Linked DNA regions of Saccharomyces cerevisiae S288C. Changing the gene in region 1 together with any one later gene gives a genetic interaction. Each region holds a gene or a part of one and is shown on either strand. Other genes may lie near its edges.

Region 1 (3,694 bases):
GCCTCTAGCAGCAACGAAATGCCAACAATTAAATCCAAGTTCACCTATTCTGACTTTTATATTTAATAACTAACATTTTTATCAACGATGGAATTCCAACAGCTTTACTAATCTTTACTTGTAATTTGGCTTTTTAGATCTATAATATTTATTGTATGGAAAGTAGCATCCAACCAAATCCCGCGAAGTTTTCCTGATTTACATAACAAGCAAATACTAAAAACGTTAACACACATGTGCTTCTTTATTGTAAAGAAACCTCCATCATCCTCTTTTGTAACTTGGTCCTACAATAAATTTATCCAGTGTGACAGCTTTATAGGAGGCGTAAAGTAGTCTCATGAAGTAGATGAGTCTTGTTCACCATATTTTTCTTCTCGACTGCGAATTAACACTGTTCTTTGATGTTAGAACAATTTAGGTTCAAAGTACGAGTCACGACATGTAACAAGGGAAAAAAAGGATATTCATTTCAATAAAGTTCGTTTTATAAAAGTATAGTACTTGTGAGAGAAAGTAGGTTTATACATAATTTTACAACTCATTACGCACACTCATGGTTTTTGGCCAGCGAAAACAGTTTCAAAAGATTGCTGGAAGTCTGCAATAATGTCATCAATAAATTCGATACCAACAGAGACACGAATTAAGTCCTTGGTAACACCAGATGCCAACTTTTCTTTGTCATTTAATTGTTTGTGGGTAGTGAAGTATGGAGCAATGACTAAGGTCTTGGCATCACCAACATTGGCCAAGTTAGAGGCAAGCTTTAAATTGTCAACAACTTGAGCACCAGAAAGTTTGAATGGGTCAGTTTCCTTGTCGGCATTTGGTAAGTCTTTTACACCGAAAGATAAGACACCACCGAAACCGTTAGATAGATACTTCTTAGCATTTTCATGATGAGAATGAGATGCTAAACCAGGGTATGAAACCCAAGATACGTATGGGGATTGTTCTAACCATTTGGCTAACTTCAATGCATTTTCACCGTGTCTTTCAGCTCTCAAAGATAATGTTTCAACACCTTGTAGTAGCAAGAAAGAGGCAAATGGGTTCATCAATGGACCCAAATCTCTTAATAGTTCAGTTCTAACATGAACGATGTATGCCAAGTTACCGTAGGCTTCATTGTAGATAGTACCGTGATATCCTTCGGCAGGTTGAGAGAATTGAGGGAACTTTTCTGGGTAGTCCTTCCATGGGAACTTACCAGAGTCAACAATAATACCACCGATAGTAGTACCATGACCACCAATCCATTTGGTAGCAGAATGTGTTACAATATCAGCACCGTATTTAATTGGCTGACAGAAGTAACCACCGGCACCAAATGTGTTGTCAACGACAACTGGAATACCGTGTTTGTGAGCAATTGCAACAATTTTTTCAAAATCCGGAACATTGTACTTTGGATTACCAATGGTTTCCAAATAAACAGCCTTGGTTCTTTCATCAAAGACCTTTTCGAATTCTTCTGGATTGTCACCTTCAACAAATCTAGCCTCGATACCAAATCTTTTGAACGAGATTTTGAACTGGTTATAAGTACCACCGTATAAGTAAGAAGTGGAAACGATGTTGTCACCAGTGTGTGCCAAACCTTGGATGGCAAGGGTTTGAGCGGCTTGACCGGAGGAAACAGCCAAAGCAGCAGCACCACCTTCTAAAGCAGCAATTCTTTCTTCCAAAACATTACTGGTTGGGTTTTGGAAACGGGAATAGACGTAACCTGGAACTTCTAGACCAAACAATTGCGAACCATGCTTAGAGTTTTCGAAAACATAAGAAGTGGTGGCGTAAATTGGTACAGCTCTGGATCTGTGAGCATTGTCACCAGGGTTCTCTTGGCCGGCGTGTAGTTGAACAGTATCGAAATGAGATGGCATTGTATGGATGGGGGTAATAGAATTGTATCTATGTATCTGACGACCCTGTATTACACGAAGGAAATAGTAGATGAAAAGACAAGAGAGCAAGAAAAAGGAAAAACTTCCTTTCTAACAGACGCTTTACTTAACCTTATATATATCTTATTTTTTTCATCGAGCGTGTTCAATTGGACAAGGTGCCACCTTTTCGACACTTCGGTTATTATGTTACACAGTTTTCATGAGGATGGCGCCTTGACTAACTTAATTAGTCATTTGCCAACCACCACAGTTCCCCAATATCGACAGCTTCACGTGCCATTTGCCATTTTGCGATCATGTGACCTCAAGAGAAAAAGCAAAAAATAATGAGAGCTAAGGGATTCGAACCCTTGCATCCGAAGATATCAGAGATTTTAGAGGTTAAATCCACCTAAATCTGACGCCTTAAACCACTCGGCCAAACTCCCATTGTATGTTGGAAGAATTGGATTTAAATGTCTATTATAGCATTAAATATCTTTAAATACATTCAAGAAATGGCGAAATTATTTCTTAGTGTTGGAATAAAAATCAACTATCATCTACTAACTAGTATTTACGTTACTAGTATATTATCATATACGGTGTTAGAAGATGACGCAAATGATGAGAAATAGTCATCTAAATTAGTGGAAGCTGAAACGCAAGGATTGATAATGTAATAGGATCAATGAATATTAACATATAAAACGATGATAATAATATTTATAGAATTGTGTAGAATTGCAGATTCCCTTTTATGGATTCCTAAATCCTCGAGGAGAACTTCTAGTATATTCTACATACCTAATATTATTGCCTTATTAAAAATGGAATCCCAACAATTATCTCAAAATTCACCAAATTTTCACTTAGGTATTTTCTTTTATAAAGTCTATCGTTATAAAAATACTATATAGATCCCATAGGTGCTTATTATAGCAGCAGAAGAAAGTAGAAAACGATTTATTCTCCTTTATTAAGCGTGATATTCAATAACTTCCCAGTTCAACCCATTGCTGGTTACAGTGGAACCTTTCTTCAAATTTTCGTAGCTTTGTGGAATTTTGTTTACTTCCTTACCGTAGCTTAATAAGAACTCAGATTTACCTGAATCTTTTTCAAGTAATCTGATGAAGTTCAAGCCTTCAATAGTGTTATTATTCTTTTGGGACAAAAACCCTTGAATCCATCTACCAATAACAATAACCAAACCATCATAAGCTTCGTCAGTAACTTTGAGGACAATTGACCTAGCATTCGACGAGAACTTCTCATTGTTTGGTGAGACGATGACTAGATCTTCTCTTGATGGGTCAACTGGTTGCCACAATTCTCTGAAAGAGACGCTTTCTTTGTCGGCACCGAATGGGTAAACAGCGCCTGTTTCCTCGACACAACCAGAATCCCAATTTTTCCAAGTGGTGTTCACTTCGCCACGATGGGTGTTTGGAACGTTCAAGTACACATTTGTATCCAACCAGAAATTGAAATCTTGAGTAACGACACCGTTTCCTTGATCATTAGCTTTAACTGTTTCGTTTGTACCGGCAAAGGCCCATTCGAAAGGAAAAGATAACTCATCACCGCTTGGCTTAACAAATGGTCTCAAGGAAATATAGTGCCCATCAGTTGAAACAGAGGATAAGGTGAATGTTCTTTCGTTTGGATGAGGACCCACTTGAAACAATAATCTTTTTAATAATGCTGGCATTGTAACTTAATTTTTTGTTTGTTGTTGTTTAAGTTCTTTTATCCTTCCTTAGATAACACCTTAAAGCTCCAGTTACAACAGCGGTGAG
Region 2 (3,758 bases), on another chromosome or scaffold:
TTGTAGTCCGCCATGTCAGACCAATATTTCCGTATTTTCAACTTGTCATTGTCATTTAAATTCGCATTTGCTTTGATAAGGGCCAAGACCTGTTTTTGAATTGGATCCCTGCTGCTGTGGTTGATTCGTCGCAAGGTCCTGGTAGGTACCATTTTTATAAACCTCTCGGTCCTGTACCGAACGAGACGAGGTAAAAACATTGCATGGAAAGGGAAACGTGCAAAATGCAAACTACTGCTATCCTAAAGTGCTCACTGTTTATTATTACTGGATTTCAGACGTCGCTTCCCACATCGTCCCGTACAGCGTTCCATGATGATATTATACCACTTCTTTATTGTTTCTTTTTTTTCTTGAGCAGAAAGTGAAAAAAAAAAAACCAGACCCTTTACCACGTGACCGATTTTGACAACATGAATATGAATATAGTATACACATATATAGAGATACAAGCGAGGGAACGGGGCCCTTTAGTACACTGGTGAGGCGGTCAGTCTCCCAGAGGATCCACAGGCATCGCACATAGACCACTCCAACGCCTTTACAACGCACACGTAACAGTAGTTCGCACGACAACAAGCGATCTGGTATGGGTTGGTTGGAAAACCGCCGCAACGGGGGCAAACTGTCTTATAAGTAGTCGTAGAACGAGACCTTGGTGGTTTTTTAACAAAGGTCAAGAGTCCTCTTTTCGTAAGTAGTGTATTGGAAAAGAGTTCTAATAGTGCATTCCATAGCAATTGTCTATTCTGGTATTCTAACCCAGCGAATACAGAGTTCGAATAAAATTCAGAGGCAATTGCAGAACCATCCCGAATCAACCTTGTGGAATGGACATTAAAAGCCCGGTATAACGGCGACAAAAACGCCCTCGCATTGGGCCCTTCCGCTGCTAGAAACCTCAGGAAGTTGGTTACATCACAGCCGTGATACAATAAATTAACCCATTTGTACAGCTTCAGCCACATCATCTGGTTCCCACAGTGCGGCCCATTAAAAATAATATGTGTGATCTTCTTCCACACGTACCCTGCCAAGACAGTGACGACATACAAGGTGCGTTTCCTGCACTGAAAAACCACGCCACTGAGTGCGGATCCATACGTACAGCTAGAGCCATAGTGTGGCAGGAACCTCGTCGCGCACATAAACACAACTGTGTTCAGTGCCAACTCCCATTCCTCTTTGTGTTCACTCGTATTGAATGCTGCATTGAACTCGGACCAAAACTGTCCATACAATTCTTTATCAAGCGCTATCGAGTCGAGCTGTGCAACTCGAGACATGCTGCGTTGCCTTTAGATTACGTCTTCTCAGTTATCTCGGCAATCTCTCCTCGTTATGCTTTCCCTCCGTCTTCACTCATCCCTTATAATGCGTTTCCCAGCAACCTTATCGATAGAATGGAGGGGAAATCGCATCCGTTCCACTCCTCGGATCGATACTAACTTCCGAGACGTTGCATCAAAGGCCAAGACATGGCATTAGTCACCCTTGTTGCAACGATAGACGCATACTACGGACCCCTCAAACCTCCCTACCTGCCCGTCGCTATCGCATTAATTTTCTTTTTTTCCACTATTTTTCCGGCCCGCCACACCTCCGACTACAAGACGCCACATCTACGTTTTGTCACACAAAATCCAGGACAATAGCCGTCTGCAAGGCACCAAGGTTTTCAGCAGTTGCTTGTTGCTGCTGCCTGTTAATCACATCAAACCCACTGCAAGGGCAGTCGATGGGTCTGTAAACGCCTTAGCAATCGTTGTTGAAGAAAGAGAGCTCTTATCATCATGGGGTGCCCATCATTTTTCTTTTTTTTTCAAATTTTGGGCTATTCAATGAATTGTTTCGACTATATATGGACAATCATCGGAAGCTGTGTATTCTTGGTAAAAAGTTTTCGACTGTGTGGCAGAAAATAACCGCAACAATTATATAACGTCACAGAACACATGAGTACCATTTATAGGGAGAGCGACTCGTTGGAGTCGGAGCCCTCGCCAACGCCAACAACCATTCCTATCCAGATCAATATGGAAGAGGAAAAGAAAGATGCTTTCGTTAAGAATATTGACGAGGACGTCAATAATCTCACTGCGACTACTGATGAGGAGGACCGCGATCCGGAAAGCCAAAAATTCGACAGGCATTCCATACAGGAGGAAGGTCTCGTTTGGAAGGGCGACCCTACATACTTGCCCAATTCTCCATATCCTGAAGTGAGATCGGCGGTGTCCATCGAGGATGACCCCACCATCCGCCTCAACCACTGGAGAACGTGGTTCTTGACCACGGTGTTTGTGGTAGTTTTCGCCGGTGTTAATCAATTTTTTTCCCTGAGATATCCATCGCTAGAGATCAACTTCCTTGTTGCACAAGTTGTTTGCTACCCAATTGGTAGGATACTGGCTCTCTTGCCCGACTGGAAGTGTTCTAAAGTGCCATTTTTCGATTTAAACCCGGGCCCATTTACCAAAAAGGAACACGCCGTGGTCACAATTGCCGTGGCGCTTACTTCCTCTACTGCATACGCTATGTACATTTTGAACGCCCAGGGAAGCTTTTACAACATGAAACTTAATGTCGGATATCAGTTCTTGTTGGTTTGGACATCTCAAATGATTGGTTATGGTGCTGCAGGTCTTACCAGAAGATGGGTCGTCAACCCTGCAAGCTCTATCTGGCCTCAGACTTTAATTTCAGTGTCCTTGTTTGATTCGTTGCACTCGAGAAAAGTTGAAAAGACAGTCGCAAATGGTTGGACGATGCCCCGTTACAGGTTCTTCTTAATCGTCCTTATCGGATCGTTCATCTGGTATTGGGTACCTGGATTCCTCTTTACCGGTCTGTCCTATTTCAACGTTATCCTATGGGGGTCGAAGACAAGACACAATTTCATCGCTAACACAATCTTTGGTACTCAAAGTGGTCTCGGTGCGTTGCCAATTACATTTGACTACACCCAGGTTTCCCAAGCCATGTCCGGCTCTGTTTTCGCCACACCATTCTACGTCTCCGCCAACACCTATGCATCAGTGTTGATATTCTTCGTCATAGTGCTGCCATGTCTTTATTTTACGAATACCTGGTATGCCAAATACATGCCCGTCATTTCAGGTTCTACTTATGACAACACTCAAAACAAATACAACGTAACAAAGATTCTTAACGAGGATTATTCCATTAATCTTGAGAAATATAAGGAATACTCACCGGTATTCGTTCCATTTTCCTATCTTTTGTCGTATGCTTTAAATTTTGCCGCTGTTATCGCCGTTTTTGTCCACTGCATCTTATACCACGGTAAAGATATTGTCGCCAAGTTTAAAGACCGTAAAAATGGTGGCACTGACATTCACATGAGAATCTACTCCAAGAACTATAAGGATTGTCCCGATTGGTGGTATTTACTTTTGCAGATTGTCATGATCGGTTTAGGATTTGTAGCAGTGTGCTGTTTCGATACTAAGTTCCCAGCTTGGGCATTTGTTATTGCAATATTAATTTCCCTTGTAAATTTCATCCCGCAAGGTATCTTGGAAGCAATGACTAACCAACACGTAGGTTTGAATATTATCACAGAATTGATCTGCGGTTATATGCTGCCTTTAAGACCAATGGCAAACTTATTATTCAAGCTATACGGATTTATTGTCATGAGACAAGGCTTGAATTTGAGTAGAGATTTGAAATTAGCCATGTACATGAAGGTTTCCCCTCGTTTGATCTTTGCCGTTCAAATCTATGCCACTATC

What was found. A genetic interaction does not mean that the proteins touch.
Region 2: mutations in MET17 (region 1) and OPT1 are lethal when combined (synthetic lethality), as found in Saccharomyces cerevisiae (2 studies listed by BioGRID, with this or other methods).

What each region holds. Positions count from the first base shown.
Region 1 is NC_001144.5:730,737-734,430, reverse strand, and holds MET17 (bifunctional cysteine synthase/O-acetylhomoserine aminocarboxypropyltransferase MET17), read right to left. Parts: upstream 1,890-3,694; coding exon 555-1,889; downstream 1-554. Other genes in the region: YLR302C (uncharacterized protein), read left to right, coding at 1,878-2,240; HRI1 (Hri1p), read right to left, coding at 2,872-3,606. UniProt on the Saccharomyces cerevisiae protein: Catalyzes the conversion of O-acetyl-L-homoserine (OAH) into homocysteine in the methionine biosynthesis pathway. Required to efficiently reduce toxic levels of hydrogen sulfide generated when the sulfate assimilation pathway (SAP) is active.
Region 2 is NC_001142.9:34,447-38,204, reverse strand, and holds the start of OPT1 (oligopeptide transporter OPT1), read left to right. Parts: upstream 1-1,955; coding exon 1,956-3,758. Other genes in the region: CBP1 (Cbp1p), read right to left, coding at 1-200; PEX2 (ubiquitin-protein ligase peroxin 2), read right to left, coding at 471-1,286. UniProt on the Saccharomyces cerevisiae protein: High affinity transporter for glutathione. Also transports tetra- and pentapeptides like the opioids leucine enkephalin (Tyr-Gly-Gly-Phe-Leu) and methionine enkephalin (Tyr-Gly-Gly_Phe-Met) across the cell membrane.